Linked DNA regions of Kluyveromyces lactis. Each later gene encodes a partner of the first gene's protein in a complex. Links are inferred from orthologs where the notes say so. Each region holds a gene or a part of one and is shown in the gene's direction. Other genes may lie near its edges.

The links.
Region 2: PTA1 (region 1) and PFS2 share a complex: the UniProt entries of both Saccharomyces cerevisiae proteins name them as parts of the cleavage and polyadenylation factor (CPF) complex. The link is inferred for Kluyveromyces lactis from reciprocal best matches to the Saccharomyces cerevisiae genes PTA1 and PFS2.

What each region holds. Positions count from the first base shown.
Region 1 is NC_006037.1:330,667-335,236, reverse strand, and holds PTA1 (RNA-processing protein PTA1), read left to right. Parts: upstream 1-1,723; coding exon 1,724-4,198; downstream 4,199-4,570. Other genes in the region: SNX3 (Snx3p), read right to left, coding at 1-409; HAP5 (Hap5p), read left to right, coding at 702-1,172. UniProt on the Saccharomyces cerevisiae protein: Essential in pre-tRNA processing. Component of the cleavage and polyadenylation factor (CPF) complex, which plays a key role in polyadenylation-dependent pre-mRNA 3'-end formation and cooperates with cleavage factors including the CFIA complex and NAB4/CFIB.
Region 2 is NC_006041.1:644,212-647,768, forward strand, and holds PFS2 (cleavage polyadenylation factor subunit PFS2), read left to right. Parts: upstream 1-1,554; coding exon 1,555-2,913; downstream 2,914-3,557. Other genes in the region: BSC6 (Bsc6p), read left to right, coding at 1-1,158; PFK27 (6-phosphofructo-2-kinase), read right to left, coding at 3,306-3,557. UniProt on the Saccharomyces cerevisiae protein: Integral and essential component of the cleavage and polyadenylation factor (CPF) complex, which plays a key role in polyadenylation-dependent pre-mRNA 3'-end formation and cooperates with cleavage factors including the CFIA complex and NAB4/CFIB.

The sequences.
Region 1 (4,570 bases):
GCCATTTGTTCAAGCCTTGGCGTCTTTCCTCTATAACTGCATCACTGAACCTGTTTGAAAGGAGAATCTTTCCTGGCAAATGTTGTACTGAGACTTTCGGATGGTTGCTCAGTTGTAATTCTTTGATCAGCAACTTTCTGAATAGTTCAAAATCACTGTACCGCCTTCGAACGGAACTCGATCTTTTAGAAAAGCCAGGAAGATTCGTCCTGCATATAATTTCATAATCTGTATACATTCCCTTAGCATCGCCACTAGGGAAATGAGTCTTTGGGTTGCAAACCTCTATCTCTAGAAAGTTTTCTGGCTCATCATAAATTGTTGCACCGGATAATTGCTTGTGAGTTGTATGTGAAAGTGTAGACTCTGCAGTTGTAGTAAATGATTGGAACTGTCTTTGGGGGCACATATTACCGAATCCATATAATCGTGGACCTTGCCCGATTAGGTTTTTCAAGGTATTATTCACTCTTTACCCACCTTCGTTACTTTGCAGGAATTGGTTGAGGTACCCTTCATAAATGGTCTTTTTTATAATGAAAAGCCATAGATATTATTTTCACAATCATATCCTTAAAACGATTTCAGGAAACCGCATAATATGCTAAGAGTGGATCTGTATTGAAATCGTACCCTGTTCTTAGCAGCACAGATCCACATGAAATCTAACTGATATTGTCGATGACACTTACCTCGAAACCATGGATCAACCGGCAGCTAATAATCAAGAGAACGTAACAAACGAACAAGGACCTCTCATGGATCTCGAAGAAGATGAAGAGATCGACGTATTCCATAATGTCGGCCAGGGACTTGCTGGCAGATACAGAGAAATTATGATACAGTATTGGCAGGAACTTATTAATGAGATAGAATCCACGAATGAGCCAGGTTCACAATTCCAAGACGACTTCAAATCGCATTCGTTACCACTAGCAAGGATTAAGAAAGTGATGAAAACTGACGAAGAAGTTAGAATGATTAGTGGAGAGGCTCCAATTCTATTTGCAAAAGCCTGCGAAATCTTCATCACAGAACTCACAATGAGAGCATGGTGTGTTGCAGAGGAAAATAAGCGACGTACGTTGCAGAAGCAAGACATTGCGGATGCATTACAAAAGTCCGATATGTTCGATTTCCTGATTGACATAGTACCCAGAAACGTTCAATGATCAAACCGCCAAATCATTAGCGTATAAAGTGAAATGAGAGAAATCAACACAATGCCCCACTTACATATTTCAACCGATTAGGCAGTTGACCTCTGAAAAATGCGACATCGGTGAGCTATGACATTATTTAGTTGTTTCTAGCAATATAGCATTATTAACTCACAAATTGTGAATTTCATGATCAGTAATATACAGTTCAATCGAAGTAAATGTTACAAATGTCATGTCAATTACTGTCTGAAATCCATAAATATTCTCGGGCAGGTTTGTACCATCTGTAGCTTTTTCTCTTTCACAGTCTCTCTTCTCTATAAGCACGAACATGAAATTGAAAAAAAAATTAAACACTAAGTTCAGATTTCGTTTTGACTATAAGAAACCACAAGTGACTGAAGAGCGCAGAAACAGCAAGAGCAAGTCAGACATAGCATCAAGCGTGGTTGATACTATAAACCGTGTGTTAAACTTTAAACAAAGCACCTCAACAGTCAGTACTTTTTTGTTTTGTTCCAGTGAGTTTTCAATCATCTGTTTGCTGAGTATAGAAAACTATGTCAACTTCTGTAGACCCTTTAGTCCAGTTGCAACAGGCAGCTGCGATGGCAATGCAGCATATGCCGGAACAAATGCTTCCTAAGGTTTTGGAGACCGGTATCACATTGTTTTTAAATGATAAGCGGAATTTAGGGTTCTCGAGATTTTCTACCCAGTTATTATTGGATATATTGGTTCATGATAAGATTCCATCAAGTGAAAAACCATTCATTGTATGTCAAAACATCACTGCGCTTTGGGAAATGGCTGAAACAAGAGATTATGTCACTTACAAAAACTGTATACTATGTCTTGGTAATATTTATGACCGATTATTTGATTTAGTAGCAAAGACTTCTGATGATAAACTTTGGTCGGTAATGTTAAAGTTTAAAGAACTTATCATTGCCAACTGGAAGACCTGCTATCCTTTGGATTTGTCTGACAATGATCTAAATAACCATTCAAGAGGAACGGGGGTAAAATTAGCAAGTGTGAAGCTCATTTCGAAAATCATTATTGTGCACACCTCAGGACCCGGAATTAGCGTGGGAAGTATACCAGAAAATCATCCTGTGATATCTAATAAGCAAGCGTTGGAGGCTGAAGCCAAATATTTGTTAGATAAATTGTTAACTTTTTTAATTGAGGAACCAATGATGTGTGCACCATGGTTCACAGGTGCTCTTCATAGTCTTTCTTTTATTATGAAGCAGAGACCATTGGCCACAATTCGAATCGCATCCGCTTTACTGAAATTCAACATTGACATGAAATTCCAAAGAGATGATGAACCCACTTTACAATACAGACTTGCAAAGCGATTTGTGGAACGTTGTTACAGAAATTTAGTTCAGTTCGGAATTAAAAGTCAACTACTCAAAAACAGTGGATCCATGACACAGTATAGAAACAAACTAGCTAAAATTTCACAGACTCTATTCGTTATTGGCGAAGAGACCAAAGCTAAAGGTATTCTAAATTATGATCCGGCTGCGATTGAACATAAAATGACTCCAGCTGATAAAAAAAAATACACTAGAGTGAAGGAAGTTAACGACTCTTCTTCAGATTCTTCATCAGGAACATTTTCAGCGACAACGAAATCTCCGTCTCCTATTCAAATGCCACCGATTGTTTCGCCAATGATAGGAAATACAATGATGAATACGGCATCTACTCCACCGTTACTGAATAATTTTCAACCTCAGATACATGCCCCCGTAAAGAACATACCTGCTCCTCCACCCCCACCGCCTGATCTTTCTGTATTGCAATCCCTTCAGAGTTATGCTTTCACTAAATCCACGACAAAGCATCCACATTTTTTGAATCCTGCTCATACCTCTGTCGATAACTCATATTCTGCCGTTTTTGCCTTAATGAACCCCGTCACCTCCGGATTCGATGTCTCGAAGTTGTCTCAAGATACCATGGTTAAAATATGTACTGAGGCTTTAAGTAACACAAACACAGGTACTGCCATTAATGGACTATCCATAGTTGCGTCCAGGTACACCGATTTGATAAACAAGTGGTTACAAAACAATGCTCAACAACAGAGCGCAACTATCTCCAACGATAGTAGTCCAGTCCCATTCAACAACAGTAGCCAAAGTCAAGCTAGTAAACGTCCCAGAGAAGAGAATTCTGCAGCTTTGCCAATAAAGCAAGAAGTTGCAATGAAAAACGAAGAACCTTTACAGCAGCCTGCGGACGATAGGTACGTAATTGATGATTCAGCTCCTATACAGCCACCAGAAAGCAAAAGGGCAAAGATCGAAAGAGTGGAAGATGCAGAACCATCAAGCAGTCATACAGTATCCTTGGGTGTTCCAACTTTAACTTATGATGAGAAGTTGACTCACTTGCAAAGAATTGTGCAGAATATATTACTGATACCAACTAAAACTGATGTGAGCACTCCAATGACACAATTACAAAGTACAAATCCATTGGACAAAGTTCTACTAATGAATTGGGACAATAAGACCTCCTGGGTATTCTTATTATCTAGACTCTGCTCTAGAGGAGTGTCATCGAATCAAGATGTGAGAGATATTGTCACCAACGCAATTTTTGACTACTTCTGTGAGGATTTCCAGAACAGAATCACGCTTGTACTTGAATGGCTAAGTGAAGAGTGGTACCATGAGGAATTGATTTCCGATGGTAAAGATCATACCATATATAATGAATGGTCAGTAAAGGTGCTAGATTTCATGATCCCCAAACTTGATGACTCCCACAGAAGATTGTTTATTCGAATGGTCAGTGAAATGCCGTTACTTACTCAAGAACACATCGAAAAGATGAAATCACTATGTTTAGATCCTACTAGATCGGTATTGGGGTTCCAGTCTTTGAAATTCATGTTGATGTTCAGACCTCCAGTGAAACCGTTCATCAAAGTTGCCCTCGAATCTATGGCTGAAGTAGACGAAAGTATCAAACCACAATGCGATTCACTATTGAACAAGTATTTTTCCTGAGTAAAGCTATTCTGAATCAATGTAAACCCTGATTTCTAAATTTATATATCTATATACTAGCCGTCGAAGATATTGCAATTTGGTTGCGTTCCAAAAGCAATATGTAAGGAGAAACTTACTACTTTCCTATCAAACCGTCAACGAATAAAAGAGAATCATAGCTCGCTAATGCCCAATAGGTTTGGCTGAAATTCCACCATGTATCAGTCACTTAATGAGAAATTTGAAGTTTTCAAAAATATAACCTTTTAGCCACATTATCGTTAAAACATATAGTTAACGCACGCACAGCACGATCTCATCTCGTTCTCGTTTCCCTTCGAAACAAAGGACACACACAGAGCTTCTTTGAGAAAAAGAAATGAACTAATG
Region 2 (3,557 bases), on another chromosome or scaffold:
ATGCCTGTTATTACTAAGTATTACAATGTCACCGAGCTTCAAATGTCGATAGTGTTTTTCCTTCAATTGATGGGCTATGTGTCGGCATCGGTCTTAAATGATATTTTGCATAAAAAATGGGGGTCTCGAGGCGTAATGACAGCATCATGTATACTTGCTGCATTTACCTACTTGGTTCTTGCCCTAAAACCATATTCGCTCTATCTTTATGCGATATGCTTCTTTCCGCTAGGTATGTGTGTTGGGTTTGTTGACTCTACAGGTAATTTCTACTTTGGTAATTTAGAGACTAGAAAGAATGAATGGATGGGTTTGCTTCATGGAATATACGGGTTGGCCGCTGGTGTAACCCCACCATTAGTTACAACCTTCGATCATTATTTGGATTGGTCTTATATCTTTTGGGTCCCTTTGGTGTTTGCTCTTGTGGGGTTGGCACTCTGCATGGGGGCCTTTAAATACGAAACTGCTACCAAATACAGATACATCTGTGTAGGAGTCCCCGATGAATCAGGTGGTATTGAAAATGAGGAAGAGATAAAATGGTACCAGTTATCGAAGTATCCTCCGATGATTTTCTTGTATGCATTTTTCTTATTCTTGTACTTAGGTACAGAAATTGGTGTTGGGACATGGCTATTCACATATTTGTTGAATTATAAGAAAGGTGAGAAGTTCCTTATGTCATTTGTTACTGCGTCATTCTGGTCTGGGATCACTATCGGTAGATTAGGTCTTGGTTTTGTTACAAAAAGGTTCAAAAATGAATACAGGTCAAGCGTTTGGTACGGTTTGACTTGTTCATTGTTTTTTTTCCTATTCGTTATCATCAATCTAATCAATTCCACATCGACATTCTATTTCTTTGTTTTATCGTTGATGATCTTTGGCGCTGGTATCTTCATAGGTCCCTTGTTCCCTAACGCAAGTGTTGTTGCAATCCAAATCCTACCGAAACATCAACAAGTTAGTGGTATTGGTACAGCAATCGCTTTCGGAGGGTGTGGTGGTGCATTAATAACATACTCTTTTGGGTTTGCAAACAAGATTTTTGGGTTCCAATACTATCCATTTCTATGCTTCCTTGGTTCTTTGGCATTCAACATAGTTTGGATGCTCTACCCGAAAATTATCAAAGGACATAGAGAGTACTTATAAATTACTCAAGCTCAACAGATATGAATATCGTGCCGCGCATGGAAATTATTTACTTATATATAATAGGGGAATCGCTCCTACTTCTTAACGGACATATGTATTTTAAATCCATACTACAGAAGTAATTGAATCAGCTTCATTCTTATGCTTAAGGTCTGCTGCACGTGATCTATTTTTTTTTCTTTACTTGAAGCAACTTCAACATCGAGCTGGCATCAAAAACTACCGAAATCAGAATATTACTTGCATTTAATGATATTGAGAGGTAGGAAATGCATAAAACATGTATCAAAAGACACGGCCAACGTTTCACATTACGAAACTTAGGTGAACTACTATTCATACTGTTCTCAGAAATTTCAACACAGCCTGGTCTCAGCTTGAAAAAGACATAGCATGGATCCTAATACCGAGGGCACCACAACTAAAAAGTATACATCGCAAAGACGAACAATTGACATTTCTGCATCTTATGATAGACTATATTTCTTGAAGAAGCATGGCCAGGAGAATTCGTCATATATAGAGGCAGAAACCTCATATAATGCTCATATACTACCGCCAGATGCCTATGGTTTTCATGGGCATGCCATCAATACAGCAACCAAATTTACGCATCTTTCATCAAATAAGGTAAAGCACGTTATTCCGGCTCTTACGTGGACGCCAGAAGGAAGAAGGTTAGTGGTAGCTACATACAATGGAGAGTTTTCATTATGGAGTGGATCCAGTTTCAATTTCGAAAGTATTATGCAGGCTCATGATAGTGCAGTAACCGTGATGACATACTCACATACAGGGGATTGGATGGTTAGTGGTAGCGCTGATGGGGAGCTTAAGATCTGGCAACCAAACTTTAATATGGTTAAAGTCATGGACCAAGCACATATGGAATGTGTAAGGGAAATATCGTTTAGTCCGACCGACCAGAAGTTTGTCAGTTGTTCTGATGATAATGTGTTGAAAATATGGAACTTTAGCAACGGACAACAAGAAAGGGTGCTATCAGGCCATCATTGGGACGTCAAATCATGCGACTGGCATCCGAAGATGGGTTTAATCGTATCAGGATCCAAAGACAATCTTATCAAATTCTGGGATCCGCGTAGTGGTAGCTGCGTATCCACCATGCTTGGTTTTAAACATACTATCATCTCGACGAAATTCCAACCCAAACAGGGAAACTTACTATCTGTAATTTCGAAGGATAAAACATGCAAGGTATATGATATACGACAACAGGCTAAAGAGCTTTTCAGTGTTCGTGATGATGTCGACTACATGACATTACAGTGGCATCCAATCGATGAAACAGTGTTTACCGTTGGATGCTATGATGGATCTATAAAACATTTCGATCTATCCCAGGAAAATCAGCCAAACAAACCTACACACAACATTCCATATGCACATGAAAAATGTGTTACATCATTAGCATATAGTCCAATTGGTCACATCATGGCTAGCGCCTCGAAAGATAGGACTATTCGATTCTGGACGAGATCGAGAGCAGTCGATCCAAACGCCTTTGATGATCCAACATATAACAATGAAAAAGTTAATGCTTGGTACTTCGGTATCAATAATAACATTAATGCTGTCAGAAACAAAACAGAACACGGTGTTGCTTTGCCACCAAGTGAAGACTCCAATAATAATGAAAATGGCGACGGTTCCAGATCAGTTGAACCTGAGCGACCATCTGTCAGTACTTTACCAGGTTTGGGATCAGGATTACCAGGCCTAAGTTTTTAAGACAATTGAAAGTCATGGAAATTATAGCATCAATATTATTTAAGCAGATTAAATGTAAATCTACCTTTTCTTCATCATTAATAAGTAGACTGTATCGATTGAATAAACTAAAATAGAGGTTAACGAGTAAAATACTATACTAAATAGGTAAAAAAAGAATCAGTAGTTGTTGAATATATAAAAGTGTTAAAAAGAACCGAGAAATAAAAACAAAAAAGTGTTAGGAGGTCGTTACAATTCCAGTCGCTTAATCAACTGGCGGTCAAAAGGTCATTAAATTTATAAGATATCATTTCGTCATTAATATTTTTTTTATAATTGGTGTATCAATTGGCAAGGAGCACTGGCATTCAAACTCTAATAAATATAGCCAAATCATATGGTATAAGAGATTACAACGTTTGTAGATAAGTATCATTGATACTTTCGTGCAACGTCATTATATTGGATTTTCGGACATTTTCATCTATGGCATCAGATCTATCACGGGAAGAGGATGGTTGAGGAGAAGTAGGGGACGATGTCCCATACTTCAAAAATTCGTTAGCCTTTTCGATGTATCCGTATCCGTACATTTTAGAATAATTCTCCATGAAATATTCCATTGTATTGATAAGTTCTGCTGTATCGGAACAGTATTGCGA